2 linked regions of the Drosophila melanogaster genome follow. The protein of the gene in region 1 interacts with the protein of each later gene in a pairwise test. Each region holds a gene or a part of one and is shown on either strand. Other genes may lie near its edges. The genes, in order: Clamp and Deaf1.

Region 1 (6,125 bases):
AACAACTGGCGCCATGCTCATTTGAATACATACACAAAGGATTTTTACTCAATAACGGAACGATTTCCATGAATTTCATTACTCTTAACTCATTCTTAACATAACGGTTCAAAAACATAATTTCGGTTACATTCAAATACTGCGTTAGATCTACTCAATCTCCGACATACATATGTATATTAAGCCGATATAAAACACATGCGGTTTGAACACAGAATAAAAGCGGGAAAGATATATATCTTAATGTAAACACATAATTAATTTCTAATTTCTTTTACATCACAAGCAGCTAAACAGATATACATATATTTCATTTAAGTTCTATTACCACCAAATTATTTTTAAATAAGAGAGAACGCTTAAGCAAATTTGTTGGACATTGAGATACCGTTTACACAGCCAGAAGGAATGCAAAATATAAACAATGAAAACAAAAAGTTTTGGGTGTTGAATTGGTCGTGGCGAAATAGTTCAAGCATATCAATACAAATTATCAAGAAAAACAACTTAATTTTTTAAGATAAAGAACTTTTCAAAAGTATACGAACAGAAGGATTGGTAGCCGAAGACAAGAATATAAGCACGTTATAATGCCCGAAACGCTTCCTTCCGTTCCTTCTGACATAATTTTTTCCAAAACCATACACATAATCGTTCGAAATCACTACCATAAAACTTGTCTTTTCATTCCTCAAAAATAGCTAATAAATAAGCTTACTATCTCAAGACATTCCCTTAAATGCTGTTGTCATAAAAAACATTTGACCACGTTGGTTGCCTTGCCAACACTAATAAATTTTTGAATTTGGGCGCCGAGAGTATTTAAATCTTTTGGAAGCTGAAATTTTCCAACACCAAACAGGACTCGCAGAACTTTGTTCATCCAGGATCTTAAGCTCAAAACCAAAACGTATGCGAATTAAAATTGCTGCTATTTAATTATTTAAAAGAATAGTTTTTATTTTTTATTAATTAATATTTATTCGGCGACAGACTTCCTCACTTATACTATTACAAGACACTTTATTACTAGCTTATCTTTGATTTGAAGCTGTTCACGATCTCGTCCCGACTCAGACTGATCTTCTAAATCTTAATCCTAATCCACTCAACCTCGGCCAGAAGCTTTTCTTTAGGATTCTCTTAAGCTTTTTAATATGTTTAGGATAAAAGCTTTACACTGAAATTATTTCCCAGCATTGTGAAATTCAAATTTGCTGACTGACGCAGTTTGACTGAAGCGCAATAAGTTGACCATGGCTTGGTCTCCAAGTGGAAGTTGTGTTTACTTTAAGTTTGGTTATATATCGGGTGGCTAAGTGTTGGCGTCAAAAACAAGGGCAAAGGCAACGCTGCTGAGATTGGAGTTAGAAATTTGTTTAGCTTTTGGTAGAGTGCTATATTTATGGGTTGGATAACTTGCGTCACTACGTGGGGCATAAAAAATCTGTTGTCCCTTAACTCACTCCCCTACATCGAGTGATAAAGATAAATAGGAATTCCTAAAAGATTTAAGTATACAAAAATAAGTACGTTTTATATGGAATCTTTAAGAATTAGTTAAAAGTCGAGTGCCTGTAAAATTTCGTTATCTTATGGAATTTGTTATCAACCATGGCCCATGATCTTACCAAAGACACTAGAATATTCTAGTGTCTTTGCTCTTACAGTGTTACCTTAGCTTGTAGAATATTAAAAGTTAAGTCTCAATAAATTTAAAACGTGTTTTTAACGCAGCTCAGCACAAGATATTTCTTTTCGAAAGCTAGTAACAGCCAGATTCTACTGATCGTAGCGTTTGCCTTTTGAGTAAGAGACAACATGTAAGACAACATGTGATGTAATCCAAATTACGAAGTACAAAACGTATATAAAAATATTTATGTTTTCTGAGTTATCGAATTAGTGTAAAAGGGCTCTAAGAAATCCTACCAGTTCTTTGTGAATTTTGGTATATTTTCGAGGGAAATGATTATTTTCATGAGTCGTGAAACGGTCACACTTTTAAAAAGTAAAACTGCTGCTCGTCTGCTCTATCTCTGAGCGTTGTTCTGTCTCCATCTCTCTTTAGCAATCGTAAAAAATGATGGACTGAAAGTTAAAGTGCTGGAATTTGTTAGAAAAAGATAACACTATTTAAATATATATCTTGTATTATTCCAAACAATATATCGTTAAAATACGTTATCAATTCACGAATACAATTTTACACCACTCAAATCTTAACAATTTTATTGTGGAGCAGGCAGTGCGCAATTTATGGTGTGGTCCGGTTGCGTAAAAGGTAATTTTAATAATGAAAAAAATAACACATGTAGTGTAATATTGTATGATAAAAAAACAAATGTGCTAGACTCCAGTTTAGATACTAGAGTCTGTTAATGTAAAGAGCTGCTGCATTAAACGTTCGTCTGTGTATGTTTTGTGTCGCGTATGTACATATTTTTTGTCTCACCGTCGCCATTTTTAATCAGTCGTTTTCGCTGGGTTCCTATGGCACTATATTCATCTCTTTTTCTCTTTTATAGAATTAGCGTCGCGTGATGCAGTGTTGAAAAGCGCGACAGAGCTGCAGTAAATAAAAGGCCAACGTATGATAAAAGTTAATTTTTGAGCATACTCGAATTTTGGGGACCATGGAAGACCTTACCAAAAACATTATCTTCACAAATGCCATTAATGGGCAACCGGCCACAATTCAATACCAGACGGCGGATGGCACCATTCTTAAACAGCCCAAAATAGAGGGCCAAAAAACGGAGCAGCAGCCTACCTTCTATTACACGACAAATGTAAGTAGTTTACTTACTATATGTTATTGGTGCTGACTTTTCATATTGTCTTCACATAGGGCAATGGCGGTACCGTCAATCTCGCACAGCTGGCCACCACAGACGACAATAAGACGTGTTATATAGCCCAGCCCGTGGGCGGATACAATTACGCCCTGGTCAACGGAATGCCTCTCAATCAGGGTGCAGCTCTTGGCATCGCCACGGTAGACGCACAAGGCCGCATCCAGATTGTCAATCAAAATAAGCCAATTGCAGCTGTATGTAAAAGGAAGACTCGTTAAGCAAAGCCTAAAGATTTTCTTCTTTGCAGAACACCATATCCAACATAAGCTTTAAGTGTGACGTATGTTCAGATATGTTCCCTCATTTGGCACTTCTTAATGCTCATAAGCGGATGCATACAGACGGGGAACAGCAGCAACAACAGCAACATAACGCCCAAGCGGGCGGCGATTCTATTGCCGTGGTCAGCGCGCAGGGGCTTGTGCAGGCACAGAACATTATTGGAAATGGTCAGATGGGCCAGATACAGATTGTGTCTTCTGACACGCTGGAGCCGGTTCAGCAATCTGTAATGCAGCAGCAGCAACATGAGTCAAAGGCAAGCAAGTGCATAAATTGTGGAAGCTCTATGCTGCAGCAGTCCAAACGCAAAGGTCCAAAGCAGGTGCGCTGCGAGTCCTGCATGCAGGCTGAACAAACAGCGCAACAACAACAGCAGCTCTTCGTCGCCCAAGACGGTAGTTGTGAAAGATTACATTCTAAATGGACCATAACTAACTTCATCGCATCTTTTGCAGGTCAAATGGCGCATCCCGTGCAAATCATATCAACGACTCCTCAGGCCCAAGCACAACTTCAGCAAATTGTGGCTGCACAGACTGGCGGTACAACGCCAAAGCGAGAGGCGAGCAGTGGGTCTGGCCATCATCCTGTGAAAAAACGAAATTCCCAGCAGATGACCAAATGCCAGAAATGCAATGGCTCCGGCGTGGTGCTAGTGGGGCAGCACTCCCATGCTTCACACAGCGGGGTGGGCGGATCGGTAAAGCAATCAGTTACTGTTAAAACTGAGTGAGTATAACATGAAATTGCAACCTTATCCTACGCTAACAAAACCAAGGTGTTTGTCCTGCAGAAATCCGTCCAAACCCTTCAGTTGTAATATATGTGGTGGTCTGTTTTCACGTTACTCAAGTCTGTGGTCCCATAAAAAGCTGCACAGCGGTGAAAAAAACTACAAGTGCAGCATCTGTGGATTGGCCTTTGCTAAAGCCGTATATTTGAAAAACCACGCGCGCATTCATACAGGCGAGAAACCCTATAAGTAATACCAATCTTCTACTTGAAATTATACTCTTTATACTAATTACCGTTATCTTTACATAGATGCCAAACCTGCGGCATGCAGTTTTCACAGTCACCACACCTCAAGAACCATGAACGCACGCACAGTGGCGAGCGGCCCTATGTGTGCGGTGTTTGCGACAAAGGATTTGCGCGCCACGCTACTCTTTGGAATCATAGGCGCATTCACACGGGCGAAAAGCCATACAAGTGTGAAATTTGTGGATCGGCCTTTTCTCAGGCGGCGCACCTTAAGAACCACGCAAAGGTGCACTCCGGAGAAAAACCCTACAAGTGCGAGATTTGCTCTGCAGCATTCGCTGATCGTTTTGCACTCAAGCGTCACCGCGGCATACACCAAAAGTACGGCCAAACTGCTCCTCGCCAGACCAGCAGCGATGGGATGATAGTGCATAAGCAGGAGATTCCTGACATGGAGGATGAGGCCCAACAGGAAGTGATTATCGGTGGGTTATAGATAGTTTAAATGCAGAGGTGACAGGCAGCTTAATGAAGTCACAGACACTGGAGTCCACCCTGCTTAGCTTCAGTTTATCGAGCGTTACTATGATCATCTGCCTCCACCTATGCTAGCCCCAGAACCATCTCTAAGGGCGCATATATCACCACAATGATATTAAAGAATAGAAAACGATGTTCCATCGTTAACACTTCAGCTGCATATGTCCTTTCTCCACTTTCATGTGGGATCTTCAAAAATGGGCGAAACCCAAAAACGCTTTTTACGATAAGCATACAAATGAACCTAATTTATTTGATAGCTTGTATAATATACTTAAACATCTTTAAACATTAAACGCATATATGTATAGGCATCGTATTTATAAGTGTTATAGGCTATTCTCTTATACAAATTGTAGGTGTAAAATATGGATTTATTAGGTGACGATACGAGCAAATCCGATACGTATGAATATGCACAGGTAATAAACACACACATATAAGTTGAAAGTTGTAAGCTTAAATATATTTTAATTAAATCTATCTAATATAAGTATGTATTAAATAATGCATAAAATCAAATAAATATTTGAATAAAATACAATTTTTTACTAACCTACTCCATTTGCAAGTGCCTTAACGAAGAATAGAGGGATCCCAGAAATAGGCACATTTTCCACCGTTTTCGACGTCTTATGCGTTTTTTTTTTATTAATGTAAGCACCATTTCACTTTAAATATAATTTTTTTAGTGTTTTGCCACGTTCATCTTATTCTTACGTGAAGCTATAAGGTCAGTAAATTTTAATGTTGGCAATAATATAATTAATAAATACACAAAACTTTAAATATTCATAGACGTAAAAGAGTAAAATAAAGTTAAAATTTATCGAAAATTAGATGATGTGAATTACTGCTGTCTTTTCAAAAAAATTAGAGCTGTTGATTTGTAAAATGGACGCACTCTTTTAAACTTCTTATATTTATATTTTTGCGTATTATCTGTTAAAAATAAAATATTTTTACATATTTAAAGTAAAGTTGTGAAGTGGCAACGAATTTTTTACAATAATCAAAACCAAGTGTTTAAGAATTAGGATTCATGGCTTGTATAATAAAGCTTTAAATTACTAGAATTCGCCATCAGTTAAATCAAGATAAATACGTATACGTATACATTTGCGAACATGGACTTTGCTTAGGGTCCATTTTTGAATTTGCGGTCATTACAAACTTATATTCATATGTATATAGGATTATTCAAGAATGAATACATTTTAGTTACACGGGATTGTAGTTTTGTTTCTTTTAATGTCAACTGGTTTGCATGCACTATGCAATCATGATTATATAGGAAGATCTGTGTCTGTGGTTGGTCCACTTTTTATTTAATATTTCTGCTACAGCTTAAAAACTAAATCGTTACAAAGTTACGGAAAGGATGCGTACCACAATCCATATTTATCCGGCCAATTAAATTTGACCATGGTCTTTGCCGCTTGGTAGAGTCCTTTTATTCGT
Region 2 (4,975 bases), on another chromosome or scaffold:
ATTAGAAGTAGGAGATAAAGTTTTACTAAGAAATGAGGTAGGTCATAAATTAGACTTTAAATATACGGGGCCCTATAAGATAGAAAGCATAGGAGATAATAACAATATTACGCTACTTACTAATAAAAACAAAAAACAAATAGTTCATAAAGATAGATTAAAGAAATTTCATTCATGATTGAATTTAAACTTATATTTTCCTTAATCATTTATACAAATTTTCCATACACTACGTATATTTTTATCTTTGCATTATAAAATCAACTATTGTTGTTCAAACAAAAACACAAACAAAATAAAAATAAAAATAAAATAATTTGCATTTAATAATCAAAATAACTTCACTAGGTTACGTTATTTTTCAAAAGGAGGGAGATGTAGTATGTGCCTATGCAATATTAAGAACAATTAAATAAAATAGCATATTAACTTATGGCAGCACTTTGTTGCTATGTTTATGTTTATGTTTATGCACGCAGTTAGGCCAGGGCGGATGTAACATGATCACCCACTCGAAGGCAAAAAGTATAAGTGCATGGTCAGCATTCACACGCCGACCAAATACATATTACATACGTACATACATATCTCGCTCTCCCGATAAGCCTAGATATATAAGATATACATAAGAACGCCGCTCCGCTGCTGGCGTACCCGGCAGCGCAGCTACGCGGATTAGCCTAAGTCCAAATATATAAAAAACTGTAAAATCGGAGAGACTCTGTAGACGTTGAGCTGACAGAACCATTTCTGCCTACTCTAAAATCAAAAGAAGAAATTGAATAAATATATGTCAGCCCGACGGCTGCCTTCAACTTAAAACGGACTTGTGTTCTTAATTGGAGTTCATCATTACATCTCATTCCTTAATGAGATGTTCTATAGGGTTACAATATGACATACACACTTGAGAATAAGAAAGTTTTAATATTATTTCTTGCAACATTTTTGCCCAAGAAGCCCTTGCTGAGTAAAATTTCCAATTACTTGGAATTGTTTAAACCCTATAGTTTGCAAACAAAAAATTGTTGATAAACAGAAGTCAGGTGGGTTTTTAAAGCTGTGGTGTTATGAATTCGGTTTGTGCGCGAGTCCTGCACCTGGGACACCATGACGGACCGATGACCAGGTCAACTCGGTGCGCCATGCAGAAGGGGGGAGTGTGTAGTAATTGTTGTTCGTCTCACCTGACTCACCTGCTTCGTCGTCGCAGCAGACGGTGCAGCTGCAGTTGGTCGCGTGCGGCGTGAGCGTACCCTCATCGATGAGGGACTGCAGCGATTTGCCGCCGTACTTGATCGAACGCTTCCAATCCTTGCTGGAGCCCCGGCCACACACATGCTCAAACTCACTGGGCGTATGCCACTTGTCCTTGTACTTCACACAGCGTCCACGGCCGCCGGAGCCCAGCTTGCTGCGGTATAACTCGGCGCAGGTGGTTTTGCAGCGGATCTGGAAGACCTCATTGTGCTGGGTTGACGGGTTCTCCGACCATCCCGAGGAGCCACCACCCGTTCCGCCGCCGCCACCGCCGACGCCACTCGCTCCGCCCGCGGCGTGCTCCAAGGTGGCCAGGCTGTCGTGGCTATTGTTGCTCCCGGAGCCATCGTGATTCAGTCCAATCGTATTTGTGGCGGTCGTATTGGTGCCCGCATTATTGGCGCCGCCACCGCCGCCGCCTGGTTGCGTCTGCTGTTGCTGGATGACGATCGTCTTGAGGTCGTTGCCCATGCTGACCGTGCTGCCGGACAGGTAGCCATTGTTGTCGACGCACAGCATCGGCTTGAAGTGAGGGGGCAGCTGGTCGGGCGTGATCACATTGAAGGTAGTGCCGGTTATCATCGAACCGATGGGCAGGGATACGGGCACCGAAACCACACCGCCACCGCCGTTTCCTCCGCCCGCTCCGCTTGTACCGCCACTGGCGCCGCCGCTACCACTGTTGTCGTTGGAGGAGGATGTGACCATGCGAACCTTGGTGTCCAACTGCATTACCATAGCGCACATATTCCCACGTTCGTCACATGTATGTGGGTGAGTGTCCAGCGGCCAATTGATGGCGTTTGCGATTTAATTCAATGCGATTTGCACAGGAATCGGGAATGAAAATTCGAATGTAAGTAAACAACACAGCATGGGAAAAATGAAAATCGGTATACACAACATTTGTGCGCCACAAATGCGGTGGGTGGAGGGGGAAAACGAGGAGGAGGAGGCAAATTGGGAGTGGATGGAGGCGAGAAGGCGAGCGGGGAATGCCTGTGGCCCAGTGGGTCGCACGGAGCGTTCCGTAGGGCGCAAGTTGCGCCACCCCCAGGCCACCTAGCCCAACCACCCACCACCCACTTTCCACAACTGCGCAGAGCGAAGCGGAGCGGTTTTCGAGCCAGATTCGGTTTCGGATTCAATAGATAGAACCTGAACCAAACACACAGTCCGGAACCAAAACCACCCCGCCAAAGGAGAAGCGAATGGAAAATCCAAAACCAAATGGGCTCCTTACGCAGCCGTTTGTTGCTCCTTTTTCTTACCTGGTGGTGATGATGATGATGGTGATGGCTGGAGCTTTCTAATATCACCTCTTCTTTCACAACATCCTCGGCCAGCGCGGCCAGATCTTTCCTATTCAGGTGCAGCTCGGTGGAGGAGTCAACCTGTTCCATAGTATTGTTATGCCAGTTCACTTTCACTTATTCTGCGGTCCAACGATAGTAATGCACTTGAATTGTTCATCGGATTACCACTTGCAATTGGATTATTGCGATATATGTATATTATTCGACGTCTACCGAGACGACGGACGGTCTGTTGTTGTTGTTGTTGTTGCTGCCGCCGCGATCCGCGTTTTTTTCAGCGCTCACCACGACTTACATGCGAATTGCGCGCAGGTCGCGTTCAAGTTGCATTGCCCTATTTACAGCTGGTGGTTCATTGCAATTTACATTTTTTAAGCTTAAACTTTACTAATTTACTAAAAAAGTTGATATCCTCCTCTTCTTCCTCATGATAACTAGAGTTGTCATGCGCGTTGCAGCTATCGCCCGCTATCGGCACTATCGATAGTCGTGATTCGTGCTCGCTATCTGTGCCCCATCTCTGGTTTTTAAATATCGGAAAGTTTACAGCTATATATCTTGCATATTAAATTAAGATTTCTGAGAATTACAATTTTAAAGATTTCCTTATGACTTGATCTTAAAACTCAAAATCACACCGAATTTGGTTTTACCATTATTACTCTAAACATTTTCGCTTGTTTATTAATAGGATATATTGATGTTATGAAAACAAGAACGATTTATTACTTTCAAGGAAAAGTTTTAAATTCATGAGAAGAATAAACTATGCTGCTTGTGTTGGAACTACACAGTGTTTCATCTCTAACATACATTTCGATATATCCAATTGGACAGCTAGTTCAGAAAACGGTCACTCTAGCAATATAATGGTAACTATCTGATGATCCAAAATAATAATAAATAGTAAAACTGAATGCTTACAGGCCGATGTGGATGTGTTTATAAGTAATTATACAATCATCGATCCAGAAATTTACCAGCTATGGATCGAAGGCTTCTCCTGTAAGTTTTCTTCTCCCAATTGCAATCTTGTTTCATGTCAAACGGCTCCATCGATTTACAATTATAGCCAGCGAGGCGGTGTCCTATCTGAAACAGAAGGGTTTTGGTCACTCCATGGGCGCTCCCAGCGACCTGATTGCATCGGATGTACTGGATCATTACCGCACCTATTCCCTGATTGAACTATACCTAAACGCACCCACCAAACTGATGGAGCAATCCTGCTTCCAGCTGGAGCCACAAATGCGTGACCTTATCACCGAGAAGTACTATTCCATCGATGATGTGGTGGCTCGCGAAATTCTTGGCAAGAAGCTGTCGTCCCGCTACCGCAAGGACCTCGACGAGGTGGCCGAGAAGACGTGCGTCAAGCTAAAATCAGTTCGGTGGGTAAATTTGGCCGCTACTTAGGCAGAGTAGAGTCTAATATATTTCAACTTCTTCTTCAGCCGACAATTTGACAACGTAAAACGCATTTTTAAGGCAGTCGAGGAAATGCCGGGCACGTTAACCAACAACATCAAGCAACACTTCATCATATCCACCGATCTAGCCAAGTATGAATATAATCAATGTATTGAACTTCAAAAAGCTAAACCTTTCACTCTTACAGAAAGTACGCCTGCATTGTTTTCCTGGCCTGCCTGCGTTTCGAAACCACCAAAAAAAAGTTGCAATACCTGAGCTTCAGTGATTTGTTGACCTGCTCCCATGCCATCATGATCTACTGGACGTATACTTACCAGGTATGACTTAGCTCTGCTAATTCCTTACGAAACTAATTTACTAAATGCAGCACACTGGACCGGAGTACTATGATACCGAAATGGACAAAGAGTTTCTCTTGGACCTGCGGGAGTTGCGCTGTCTACTCGACAAGGAAAAGGAGATTAAGCAGTGAGATTTATTTTTCTACCGCACACGAGCTATTATATAGTTTAGTCCTTGCATTTAGCCTCGTCTGCATGCGCCTCAAACCCGTTCTTCTCGAGCGCGCCTTTCACGAACTGGATGGCAACTTTCGGTAAGGACTTATTTCTCGACATTATCACCTTTTCTTACTATTGATCTGTTTTGATTTGCAGTTCTTACTGGCGCGCCCTGATCACCATCGCCTGCAATTTGCATCGCAATCGGGAGCTGCGCGATCTTTTCGTCGATCTCTGTGAGAAGCTTATTGATCCTTGGCGTCAGAATGGCTGGAACCGTGAGCAAGTGAATAAATTTTTGGCTTCCATAACGCAAAGCGTTTTGGATCTGGAAATATCAAGGTGGGTACTTTTGTCTAGATTAATCAAGTAACTTTTTTGATAATCAACTCTAAATGTTTTGCAGGGACCAAGAAACCAGATGTCTTTGGGATCGCTATATGCAGGTCATAACGATATGCTTGG

What was found.
Region 2: the proteins of Clamp (region 1) and Deaf1 interact in a two-hybrid assay, tested with the Drosophila melanogaster proteins (2 studies listed by BioGRID).

What each region holds. Positions count from the first base shown.
Region 1 is NT_033779.5:22,165,047-22,171,171, reverse strand, and holds Clamp (Chromatin-linked adaptor for MSL proteins), read left to right. Parts: upstream 1-2,028; 5' UTR 2,029-2,284; intron 2,285-2,528; 5' UTR 2,529-2,636; coding exon 2,637-2,792; intron 2,793-2,851; coding exon 2,852-3,052; intron 3,053-3,105; coding exon 3,106-3,535; intron 3,536-3,595; coding exon 3,596-3,869; intron 3,870-3,918; coding exon 3,919-4,122; intron 4,123-4,184; coding exon 4,185-4,620; 3' UTR 4,621-5,452; downstream 5,453-6,125. UniProt on the Drosophila melanogaster protein: Transcription factor involved in X-chromosome dosage compensation in males, the process by which transcription of the single X chromosome in the male is elevated. Binds to the DNA sequence (GA)n.
Region 2 is NT_037436.4:19,816,223-19,821,197, reverse strand, and holds the start of Deaf1 (deformed epidermal autoregulatory factor-1), read right to left. Parts: upstream 3,025-4,975; 5' UTR 2,664-3,024; coding exon 2,532-2,663; intron 2,097-2,531; exon of another isoform or gene 2,008-2,096; coding exon of another isoform or gene 1,987-2,007; coding exon 1,188-1,986; intron 1-1,187. Other genes in the region: fibp, read left to right, coding at 3,446-3,448, 3,503-3,581, 3,649-3,967, 4,031-4,138, 4,195-4,327, 4,378-4,478, 4,537-4,605, 4,667-4,852 and 1 more. UniProt on the Drosophila melanogaster protein: Transcription factor that binds the homeotic Deformed (Dfd) response element. High affinity binding sites contain at least 1 TTCG motif surrounded by additional TCG sequences.